Arabidopsis thaliana: one gene and its partner. The protein of the gene in region 2 interacts with the protein of the main gene of each other region in a pairwise test. Each region holds a gene or a part of one and is shown on either strand. Other genes may lie near its edges.

Region 1 (5,165 bases), 9.2 Mb from region 2:
TATGTTTTCGTTTATCCAAAGTAAGAGTGTGTTCCGGTGACTATTAGCATAAACGATAAATCACTGGTTTTTAACAACGTATTATCCTCTTTATGATTTTGTAATTAATTGGCTGAAGACAATGGGTTTTTGTAATAGTTGAATGTCTAGTAGATGTTGTGAACATTGTTGTAGGCAAATCTGCTCACTCCTGAAAATTGCCAAAGGAATTTGTGCTATTTTAAAACATAGAACATTAAACTGCTAAAGTTGTGGCCTTATTCTTGTCACATTTGGCTCGTGCAACTAGGCGTTGAAGCTTGAAGAATTTGGGGTGGAAGGCTCAGATGCTGAAAATGTTTGTTACTTACGAGATCTAGCTGATGCAAATAGGCTTGCCACTGTGATTCAATCAAGCTCCAACGGGAATGCGGTTGTTATCGGCGGTGGCTATATCGGTATGGAGTGTGCTGCATCTTTAGTGATCAACAAAATCAATGTGACGATGGTTTTCCCAGAGGCTCACTGCAGTAAGTTCTCTCGATTATTACTAAACTTACGTGTACGAGAGAAAGGTTGTGTATTTAGCTTGACCTTTTTAGTTTCTTATGACAGTGGCACGTCTCTTTACGCCCAAGATTGCAAGTTTGTATGAAGACTACTACAGGGCTAAAGGCGTAAAATTTATAAAAGGAACGGTTTTGACATCATTTGAGTTTGACTCGAACAAAAAGGTAAGATCGTTTCTTTTAGCTTGAGATTCAACTCGAAAAATGTCTGGTACGTTGCATCTATGTATACAACTAAGGATGGCAAGAATCAGTAGAACCACAGATACTTCTGGTCCAGTACTCAAACTATGAAATCTTGAGCCTTGTTCAATGTATTTGTTTATTGATATGAGGTTTTTTGGTTTTCGATTTACAGGTTACTGCAGTTAATCTCAAAGACGGGAGCCACTTACCAGCCGACTTGGTTGTGGTTGGTATCGGGATACGACCAAACACAAGCTTGTTTGAAGGACAGTTAACAATAGAGAAAGGAGGGATAAAAGTGAACAGCAGAATGCAGTCAAGTGACAGCTCAGTGTATGCAATAGGCGATGTAGCTACATTTCCAGTGAAACTATTTGGCGAAATGAGGAGGCTTGAGCACGTGGACTCAGCTAGGAAATCTGCGCGACACGCAGTTTCAGCCATCATGGATCCAATAAAGACCGGAGACTTTGATTACTTACCATTTTTCTACTCAAGGGTCTTCGCATTCTCATGGCAATTCTATGGAGACCCTACAGGTGATGTTGTGCACTTTGGAGAGTATGAAGACGGGAAATCATTTGGAGCGTATTGGGTTAAAAAGGGTCACCTTGTTGGATCTTTTCTTGAAGGAGGCACTAAAGAAGAATATGAAACTATCTCAAAGGCGACACAATTGAAACCAGCTGTGACTATTGATTTGGAAGAATTGGAAAGAGAAGGACTCGGGTTTGCTCACACGGTTGTGAGTCAGCAGAAAGTTCCTGAAGTTAAGGATATTCCGAGCGCTGAGATGGTGAAGCAATCTGCAAGTGTGGTCATGATAAAGAAGCCTTTGTATGTATGGCACGCAGCTACTGGAGTCGTTGTGGCTGCATCTGTGGCTGCGTTCGCGTTTTGGTATGGGAGGAGACGCCGTAGATGGTGAGGAAAAAAAAAACTCTTCAAGTGTTGGATTCATTGGAAATGGAACTTGCTGTTGTTTGTAGCATTGGTGGGAGAAATATAGAAGGGAGAGTCCAAACTACTCAATGTGATTACATTGGTATACGATTATTATATGCTTCTTTTAAAATGCATAAACGTTTCCACTACAAACTTTGATTCAACGTCTTTGAAGCCCTTTGTTACTTGTTAGTGTTCATAATCTTGTGATTATTGGTAGAGTTAATTCGGCAATACGGCAATACCCATAAAATTAGAAAAATAGCAATGAGGAGCTAGCTAACAAATAATTTTGCACACTTATTTAATTGTTATGACAGAAATCATAATTAATAAACAAACTAAATGTGATTAGAACAACAAGGGCGTTTGGTCTAGTGGTATGATTCTCGCTTTGGGTGCGAGAGGTCCCGAGTTCGATTCTCGGAACGCCCCTTTTTATTTTTTTAACTCCTCAACGTCAGGCCTCACGGGTATTTTCGTAAACATACAAACGATACAACCTCATCTATTTGTATATGCGCATGATAGCAAACGTACGCAATATTCTATTCCCCAAAATACCCCTTATCCATCATTTTTCTATCCTCTCATCTTTCATCTTCCTCACACACAATCCAATCAAAACACACAGAGAGAAGAAAAACTCAGAAGAAAAGCCAAAGAGTGAAACAAAAATGGCGTCGACGACTCTCTCAATCGCAACAACAATCCGTTCCTCATCTTATCCTACTCTCGCTTCCATCAATCACTTCCCTTCCCGAACCACCACCATCGAATTCCCCTCTCGCTTCGGTGGTGGTTCATCATCCACATTGACCCACCGTGCAACCCATCTCCGTCCAATCGCCGCCGTCGAAGCTCCGGAGAAAATCGAGAAGATCGGATCCGAAATCTCATCCCTAACCCTCGAAGAAGCTCGTATCCTCGTCGACTATCTCCAAGACAAATTCGGTGTCTCCCCACTCTCTTTAGCCCCCGCAGCAGCGGCGGTTGCTGCTCCAGCCGACGGTGGCGCGGCGGCTGTAGTGGAGGAGCAAACAGAGTTCGATGTGGTTATCAATGAAGTTCCGAGTAGTTCTCGTATTGCAGTAATTAAAGCTGTTAGGGCTTTGACTAGCTTGGCGTTGAAGGAAGCTAAGGAGCTAATCGAAGGATTACCAAAGAAGTTTAAAGAAGGTATCACTAAAGATGAAGCTGAAGAAGCTAAGAAGACTCTTGAAGAAGCTGGTGCTAAAGTCTCCATTGCTTAAGGTTTTTATAAAAAAAAAAAAAGAAGTTGTTATCTTTTCTGGAATTTGATTGGTCTTTTGTGTTGTTTAGTATAGTTTGCGTCTGGAATTGTTGAGAAATTGTTGTAATTTGAATCACATTTGGTTTCCCATTAGCTGATTTCGCCATTGATGTGAGCTTTTTGGTAGCTGCACATAACATGTTTGTTGAAATGCCTAAATGAGGCAAATCACTCGTAGTTGCTTAACATGAAACAGAGTTAAAAATAATAAGCACAAATGTCACTGCTACATTTTTTTACTTAGTATTGTAACACTCATGAAATATTTAGGATATATTATAAACGAGATCATGTATGAATACAAAAACACAGCATATTAACACCAAGTTTGAGGCATTGTCCACCTAAGAAACCTTGTTCTTTGCAGTGCTTATTGCAGTCCGGAAATTTTGAGCATAGACCTTCCACAAGGTACCACCCTCCTTGAGCTTTGGCCATAGATTTTGCGTGTACTTCACCTATCGTTTTCCAAAGATTGTTGTAATATTAGAAAAAAAGTCGTTACTCGTTTAGACATAAAGGCAAAAGAAAAAGAAAATTCACTCGACAAGAATCTCTTGCAGCTGGTAACAACGCAATATCACTATGTATTTTATTTTATTTTTTGTGATAACAAGTTAATATCACAATGTATTGTGAATCACAATGTATTGTGAAAATAATAGTGTATACAATATGTATGGAGATATGATCTAATGTCTGATATAAAATAAGTATTCGGTTTGCTAGTTAGTGTTGAGTGTTAACTCATGAATCTTGCTACTTTGGTTATACTTCAGTATATATGAATAAATTGAATTAAACAGAAAAAAAATATAAACGTTTTTTTGGCATACTTGGGGCGAGAAGAACAATCATGCATAAGAACACAAGGAAGGCGCATTTGCTTGATGAAGCCATTTTTGGTTTTTGTATTGTTTATTTTTCTAATATTTGCTAATGGAACACAATATTACTCAAAACCCTTATTAATATATATATATATATATCTGTATATATAGAGAGAGAAATATGATGAGTTTTTTACTTTGTAAATAAAATTGGATTCTTTTCTTATTTAATCTAGGATATTTTATTACATTTAAGTTATGGTTTTATTTTATATATATGAAATTTTTAATAATCATGATATGGGATGGGGTGGATTTAATTAGTGATGATTATAGGATTTAGATTCAATTTTTTCTATTAGTTTATTTTCATTATGATAACTTTAGGTATCCTACTATATTATTTAGGAAGTACATTTTAAATGTAACCTTAACTTTTGTAATTAATTACATGACAATGCCATTAGAAAAGTTTAATAAAAAAAATCCTTTAATGACGTCATTAAGGTTACCAAAATCATTTAACGACAATATTAATCTCTTAATTATAGGGTTTATTGGATCTACAGACGGGTTAGCAAAATATACTGAATATTCAAATATCTATCTGTTAGCAAATTATAAACAAATAAGTTCGTAAAAGAATTTCATATTTTATATACGAAATCAACTAAATCTTAATCACATAAAAATTAGCACAAAAAAAAAGTATTCAACCATTAAAAAATTATCAAATCTCTGTGTTATATAAGTTTTGATAGTATATTCGAATAAAGTGTAATATACCTTTTCAATTTGTATTCTTTAACTAATTTAAGCTAACTAATATATTTTCTAATCTTATACCTATCAAAACCGACTATCGTTTCTTATCTCTATAGTATTTTTGCAAGACTTTTTTGGTAGATTTGGGTAAAAGTGCATTCGGGTCATATGGTACATTCTCTATTAAATAAATATGGTGCACTCATATGTTATTAGCTAAAATGTTTAGATTATAATTCAGAGTCATATCATAAATAAAATTAATATTAATCAAATAAATGGCTTTTTGGCAAGACGGATTTGGAGGGACGGGTTTTTGAATCAACATTAATAAAAAAGTAAAATATAATTAATCCACCATTTCAGTACGAGTTAAATCTTTAATTTATTATTTTTTAAGACCACTAATATTAAACATATCAAATCATCCTAATTTAGAAAAAATTATATAAAACCAAAATTGTTATATGGTATGTATAATGTTACTATATATAAAATTAAACAATAAAATATAAAACTTTAACTTAAAAACTGCGGTAACAATTATAAACTGTAAATATAAATAGTTTATAAAAATAAAAATTTGCAAGTTTTAAT
Region 2 (7,272 bases):
CCTTAAGATTTAAGAAATTGTCGAGATCATGTTTTTTTAAACATGACTTGGGTCCGGTCTATTATTGGACCTGCTCCGGGTCGATCGATCCCCTTCAGCCACCAAAAACAGAAATTTTAGTTTCATTTTTTATTTTTGTAGTTTCGAAATGTTGAGAACCAGGAGATATTATGTACCCAAATATATAATTGACACAAATTTTATATTCCTACAAATTAACGATCTACCCTACACAACAAACGGTGAACGGTTTAACCTAAAATAATACATGAGAACCTCCAAAAGTCTTGCATTCATATGTTCATAAAAATTGTAATTGTTTATTGAGAAAATGTTACATAGCTGATGTACAAAACCGCGTTTTCACAGCAATCAAGAAGTCGTCAAAGTTTTGACTTCAGATTTATTTATTCACTAAAAGTTTGATTTCGTCTGCTTCAGTTTTATATATACACAACTGGTCGACATGAGAGGGAGAAGAACAATGAAAATGAAGAAAACAACAAGACAAGCTTTTCTTCTCCTATGTTTGCTTCATATATTTCTATGTCTCTCTTTTCATGTTCGTGTCCACCAAGGTCAGTCTCTTCTTATTTTTAAGTAACGTTTTGAATCGTTGCACTTGACGCTTAATCGTCCCAAATATAAAATGGTGTAGTTTACAAACTGATTAGTTCGTATTTTCTTACATGTTACATCCATTTACAACCAACAAGTTAATCTTCTAAATTTTTTTTTTAATGTGTGTGCAACTACAAAGGTAAACCTGAGATATGCGTAAGACCCTCCCCACCATGTGGAGATTCTCCAAAGGGAGGAGGTGAAGATACGCCGGGACATAACTATAAAAAGCCTTGCAAACCCATTCCAAGACCACCTCCTCCTCGAGATTGCTAGCAGCTTTGAATTTTCAACACAAGTCCTTAATGTTTTTTTAGTAACAATATCATCGAGACTAATTTATTTGCACGATGTGCAATAATATCGTTTAATTATACCTTTTTTCTTTCTTTCTTTCGAAATTTATGTGTAATTTGTGGTAAAAATAATAATTTGTGCACCCGTATGTTTGATTTAAATAACCAAAACCATTTACAATGTCTCATCATAGGATATATTTGTCTTAGATGTTGTTTTTCTATCCATTTATCCAAAGGCAAAATCTGGAAACAGAGTGACAGAGACTAAGATTTATCATCTGTCAAGTAACATTATTTTTGTAATATAGTAAAATAATTTCTAACAACCTATTATAGAATATCACCATAGAGGCAATTTACATAGCCGCACCAAACATTCTTTCTCCTTACATTCAACAATATCATGTAGAGTGATCAAAGTGGGTCTAGAGGCGAGGATAGCGAGAGCGCCCTTTCTTCTTTAAGAACTCTGGGATCTCTATGGAGCTGCCTTCAGTGAATGATGATGAAGGACGTCTTGTGGCTCCCATTGATGCATCCGCTTGTGTCGCCTGTATTTTCATGTAGCAATAAGAGAGATTACAACCGAAGACTTTTAACATTTGATGTAAGAATCGGCTATGTTGTGTGTGTGTGTCAAGGGAGACAAGTGAATACCTGAAGTGGCCTCCCTTCTCCTTCTTCTTGGCGTTTGAAGCCAGTTGCTATCAGGGTAATACTTATCTGACAGGAAGAAAAAAAGTTTAAGCAATTTGGGTATCTCATAGGTTATATGTTAGAAGAAAATCCAAGAAAGAAGAATACTTACTTGACCACTATAAGATGGATCTACCACAGCACCAAATATAAGATTCGCTGTTGGATCAACGAGGTCGTAAATCACTTCTGCAGCAGCATTTACCTACAAATCGTTTCCCGAGAGTCAAAATAGAGACACACAACGTTATATATGACATGGGACTGAAGTTCTTTTATGAATTGTCTAGGGAAGAAACCAAGTGATTTCTAGGACAGGAAATGGTCTGAAAGCGTAGAGAGGGAAAAAAAACCTCGAACAGTGTTAAGTCACTTCCACCGGTTATGTTCCAAACTATTCCAGTGGCTCTCTCAATGCCAATATCTAATAAAGGGGATTGGATTGCGTTTAATGCAGCATCTCTTGCTCGGGTCTTTCCTGCTCAAATAACAGTATAGCTTGAAAGATTAAGCATGATGATGCAGCCAAAACATAGCACCAAAATAGTTCAAGTTTAGGATTTTCCTCAATATACCAACTTGCAGTGGACCAAACATTATTCCTTTGTCATGGTTAAAGAGTACTAAATCTATAGTCAAATTAATCTACTCAGCTACATCTGTAGTACCAATTCTCAGTAAATTGAAAACTTAGCATTTTAGCTAACAAACATATGCATAAAGCGTCGCCTATATTGGTCACAGGGTTCTTTAACCTGCCTTCTAAACCAATATTCCCCTTCGACATACGTAATGATGCAGCAGATAGAGCCTATCAATAAAATAGTTCAATTCCAAAGAACACTCTACTCTTACCTGTTGCAGTTCCTATTCCCATCAATGAAGAACCTGCATTTGCCATTATCGCCCTCACATCAGCAAAATCCACATTGACCAATCCAGGAATCTGCAATGCAAACACAACGATATTGCAGTCAGACATTTTCTATAAACATGGATGTCATAGCTTAGAGAATAAATACTTTCAAAGCCATACCGTAATAATATCAGATATTCCACGGACACCTTGACGAAGTATATCATCTGCCAGATTAAATGCTTCTGTAACTGGAGTAGACTGAGAGACTGCTGCTAGTAACTTGTCGTTTGGAATAACAATGAGGGTGTCAACATTATCTCTGAGGGCTGCAATCCCTTCCTGAGCCTGGAGTGCTCTTCTCCGTCCCTCAAATGAGAAAGGCGTTGTCACAATACCAACCGTTAATATACCCATCGCTTTTGCAACCCCTGCAATTATAGGAGCACCACCTGTGCCAGTTCCACCACCCATTCCAGCCTAGAAAAATAACAAGACATTTGGCTAGAAAAGCTTAGGCACTGAACTTAAAGATCTAATCTTACAGTCAATCTATGGAGGCAGCAAATTCACACAATAACCCATAACTGGTTGTACTTTAAACAGGAAAGTATTCTATGATCGAAGACATAAACCTCACTGCTTTAACCAGATGGAGATAAAAGAGAAACTGGTAAACACAAAGAGAAACTGCAACCCACCAAAATTCAATAAAACCAACATGATATTGCAAACGGCGATTCTGACCCGTAAAACTTCTCATTTGTAATCTATATCTTTATATAGAAATAAGTATAAATAAAAGTTTGTTACTAAGAAAAAGTGAAAGTAATAGTTATAGACATACTGTGACAAAGACCATATCTGAACCATAAAGTGCTTCTTGAATAGCTTCTTTGCTTTCTGTAGCAGCATTCATCCCAATCTCTGGATTACCTCCAGCACCTAAACCCCTAGTCAACTCCTTACCAATTTGTAACCTATTGTCTGGAAAAACCGGAGATATTCTCATTGCTTGGATATCGGTATTCACAATCCAAAACTCCACACCAATCATCTCACTCTCAATCATACGATTCACAGCGTTTGAACCACCACCTCCAACGCCGATAACTTTAATCCTAGCCTCATTGTAAGTGTTTGGAGTAGATAACTCATCCAAATCCTCAGTAATGGGAACACTGGAAGTTTCTTTTCTTGGGTTGAGCATGGATATCTCAGGGTGGAGATTCAAGAAAGAGTCTTGGCTTTGGAAATGGCTTGTACTATGAGAATTCAAAGAGTTTCTGATTGACGAAGACTCGTACTTATGAGAAGCAACAACACGATATCTTTTAGTAGTACCTTCACTCATTCTTAAGCAACCAACCCTCGTGCCTAGATGATGATCAGGTAACACACTCTTTCTAAGAACAGTGAGTACCCGAGAATCCGGAGGAGTTAAACAGGGAGAAACATAAGCTGCCATTCTGAGACTACAGAAGCAACCAAAGATCTATTAAAAACTCCAATTTCACTGCTTCAAGAGAAAGAACAAGAGGTCAACGTCAAGTCCTGAACCAAGAAGAAGATTAAAAAAAAAAAAAAGTGGCACTCACATTCTACAGTACTATAATTGGAAACCAGTTGCATATCAGCAGCATATGGATCAAGTTCAACACTAGAAGCTAAGATACTACAAAGAAAAGTCAATGCTTTAATTAATAAATTTCCGAGGAGTATCAATTTGAATCAGAAAACTACAATTGGCACATCGTACTGTTCTAAAGTAACGAAATTGAAGATGGGGAATTCCAGAAATTTGTAAAACAGTAGACGAATACAAAAAGCTAAGACATTTCGACGATTGAGTACAGAATTTCCAGAGGGAGCAGTTTTAGAGATTGTAGCAGAAGTACATTAACATGTAAAAGACGAAGAGTACCTTACGAGTAGTGGCAGCAGAGAATTCGAGCTACAAAGAAAAAAAAATGGGAACCAATGAAAATGGAAGGTTTTGGTGTTTTCTGGGCTTAGAATCTCTTTCTCGATCACATAAAAGTGGATTATGATTTTGATTTTGCTCCTAATTTTTATCTGTTTCAGTAACAACTACAGCTACTAAATTCATCTGTTAAATAAGTTGGTGAAAGAGACAAAGCGTTAGCCGACGAGAGTGATGAAGAAAATTAAATGTTTAATATAAATGGGCCTATAATGTTGGTCTTAAAGCCCATACAACGAATTCTGGGCTTTAGCCGGATAATAAGCATACGAAAAATTTGCACAATTTTATGAGTCTTTTGCTTGCTCATGTAGAACAGTGAAGTCCATGGAACCATGAATGATGATGAACGTAAACAAGCCACAATTCTATAATTCAGATTGTTTGTTTGCGTTTAGATTTGTTTCGAACGCATCAATTGTGATTGAGACAATCGAAGTATGATAGTTTCGCTATCTTATGCAATGCCATTGCCAGGCCAAAGCTCGTCATGTGTATCTTCTGATCAACTACTTTCTCGCTTATAGAACAATTTCAAGCTAAACCATTCACACTTCTCCCCAGTCACTTATTTATCATTGGTAGTTGAAGCAACCTAAGATCTTTAATCAAAACATCTTAGTGACTCGCTTCTACGTTCGGAAAATCTACACTACAACTGCAACACATGTACGCTAAAAATGAGCAATTGATACTCTCACCAAATCTAATTCAAAGAACAGTTCATGTCAAGAAACTGTCAAACAGAACCACAAAAGGATGTATATGGCATAAACGTTTCGAGATTTCCAATAGTAAGAGATCTTAGAACATCATCTTCAATTACTTAAACCACATCAATAACAACTTCCTCTAAAGTTATCAAAAACCTTTACAATGTCTCAGCTATTTCACCACAAACACTTATAAGATATCACATTAAGCTACTCAGTAATGGCACCGGAAAGTTCAACAATCTATCAATATTCGAAAGCAAGGAATCAAAAGATAACGAGAAGCGAAAACAGAGTATAGATTAAGAAACAGGCGTACGAAATCAATCCACGGTGCTCTTCTCCTCCATCAGCAAGAGACACCACCAGATTAGAACAAGCTCTAGTAGCCCACAACACGAAAGCCGCACCGAGCACAAACCGAACGGGACCAGCACCTTGTGGCACAAACAAGGACACCGCGGACAAAATCACAACGGGAAGCAGAGAGTAACCAACTAAACTCGTACAAGTATGAAGATTAAGATTCCCATTTCTACCAGCAAGCATATTGAAGACAATGTACAAGAAGATAGAAGAAACAACAACCCAACCAAGTATAACACCAAACTGTATCTTCCCAGCGAGCAATTGAAATAAGCAAAGCGCAAGGTATAAGAAGATCGGACCAGAGAGATCTGAATCTTTGTGAACAGTCTGATTGATTCGAAAAGGATTGAGAATCGATCTAGTTTTCTTCCAGATTTGATCTGGATGGATACCGAGTTCGTCGAGTAAAGGCTCCTCATCCTCAAACGAAGCAGAGACTCCTCTACCGAAAGATGCAGATGAAGCGATTGTTCCGTCGAATGGTCCCGCCGGCATTGAAACGGCGGCGGATCCGATTTCAAATGGAATGAAAGGGATTGAAGATGAAGCGGAGGATTGACGTGGTGGTTGGTAAGGAGCTGTGGGAACTCGGCGTTGCTGAACATTTGCGGTGGCCGGAGATGATCCACTGGTGGGGAAAACAACCGGTGGAATTGGAAAATCCTTCGTCATCCTCTAGAATCCCTAATTCAGATCTCGAATTTGAAGTTAGTGTTTTCTCTCAATCGGATTTGATTTCAGAAATTGAAAATAATTCCAGTAACAGGCGACTACTACGCATTCTTCGTGTTCGTATCTTCGTGATATGTGATAAGGGCATTTTCGGTAAGTGAATTAATAATGTTTTGGGCCGTATAAGGCTTTATCAGCCCATTAGTTTGTAGTTTTGAACAGCCTTTGCTACACAAACAAGTCAATAGCCCCACTTGTGAGTTGTGAATAGTTTTCACTACTGACTAATTATCGTAATTTTATAAGTTATTAGGCTCACTGAACAACAAAGTCGTTGTAGTATAGTGGTAAGTATTCCCGCCTGTCACGCGGGTGACCCGGGTTCGATCCCCGGCAACGGCGATTTTTTATTTTTTAAACCTATAGTAGTGTCCTTACCATTTTTTGAAAGTCATTTAGAATTTGTATAAATTGTAAGAGCAATGATCAATACGTAAGTCATTTAGAATTTGTATAAATTGTAAGAGCAATGATCAATACGTAGATTTATTCAAAGTTGCCTTTCTGATGTTCATGATACTTCTTTTTCTATCAATCTTAGCTTTCTTAATTTGCAATAACTGAAACATTCGTTTGCTCAATAGTATAAAGAAAGAAAAACACACACAGTTCAATCAACATTTTCTCCTATAATCTTGAAAGTATTATGTTATTCAGAATAACTTATTCTGTTATTATTATTCTTTTGGTGTTATCTTGATTTCTACGAAAACTCACAGATGTTCTTGATTTTATATTGCAGAGTTGTAATATTACTTCCAAGAGATAAGATTATATGAAGAGCAACTGCAGAATATAATTTGCATAAGTTGAGAGTCAAAGATATTGTAACATCGTAACTCAAACCTATAACATATTGACCGATATCAAGATCTAGGTCTCATAAATAAGAAGTGAGGAAATATAATGATTGTGAAAATTGAAAACCAGAGGTCCATAATTAATTCTGACGTCAGATGATGATGCCTTGCATGGTCTTCCAAAGAGATTTGGAGTAATCAT

What was found. The genes of interacting proteins can lie anywhere in the genome.
Region 1: the proteins of FTSZ2-2 (region 2) and RPL12-A interact in a protein complementation assay, tested with the Arabidopsis thaliana proteins (one study listed by BioGRID).

The regions. Positions count from the first base shown.
Region 1 is NC_003074.8:10,316,220-10,321,384, forward strand, and holds RPL12-A (ribosomal protein L12-A), read left to right. Parts: upstream 1-2,285; 5' UTR 2,286-2,356; coding exon 2,357-2,932; 3' UTR 2,933-2,933; exon of another isoform or gene 2,934-3,213; intron 3,214-3,261; coding exon of another isoform or gene 3,262-3,431; 3' UTR 3,432-3,701; downstream 3,702-5,165. Other genes in the region: MDAR4 (monodehydroascorbate reductase 4), read left to right, coding at 290-509, 595-713, 907-1,662; AT3G27831 (Gamma-thionin family protein), read right to left, coding at 3,262-3,431, 3,810-3,873.
Region 2 is NC_003074.8:19,548,496-19,555,767, forward strand, and holds FTSZ2-2 (Tubulin/FtsZ family protein), read right to left. Parts: upstream 4,607-7,272; 5' UTR 4,397-4,606; intron 4,378-4,396; exon of another isoform or gene 4,071-4,377; intron 3,989-4,070; 5' UTR 3,941-3,988; coding exon 3,320-3,940; intron 2,953-3,319; coding exon 2,653-2,952; intron 2,563-2,652; coding exon 2,472-2,562; coding exon of another isoform or gene 2,431-2,471; exon of another isoform or gene 2,136-2,430; intron 2,095-2,135; coding exon 1,970-2,094; intron 1,822-1,969; coding exon 1,729-1,821; intron 1,644-1,728; coding exon 1,578-1,643; intron 1,472-1,577; coding exon 1,346-1,471; 3' UTR 1,166-1,345; downstream 1-1,165. Other genes in the region: AT3G52760 (Integral membrane Yip1 family protein), read right to left, coding at 5,437-6,210. UniProt on the Arabidopsis thaliana protein: Exhibits GTPase activity. Component of the plastid division machinery that forms a contractile ring at the division site.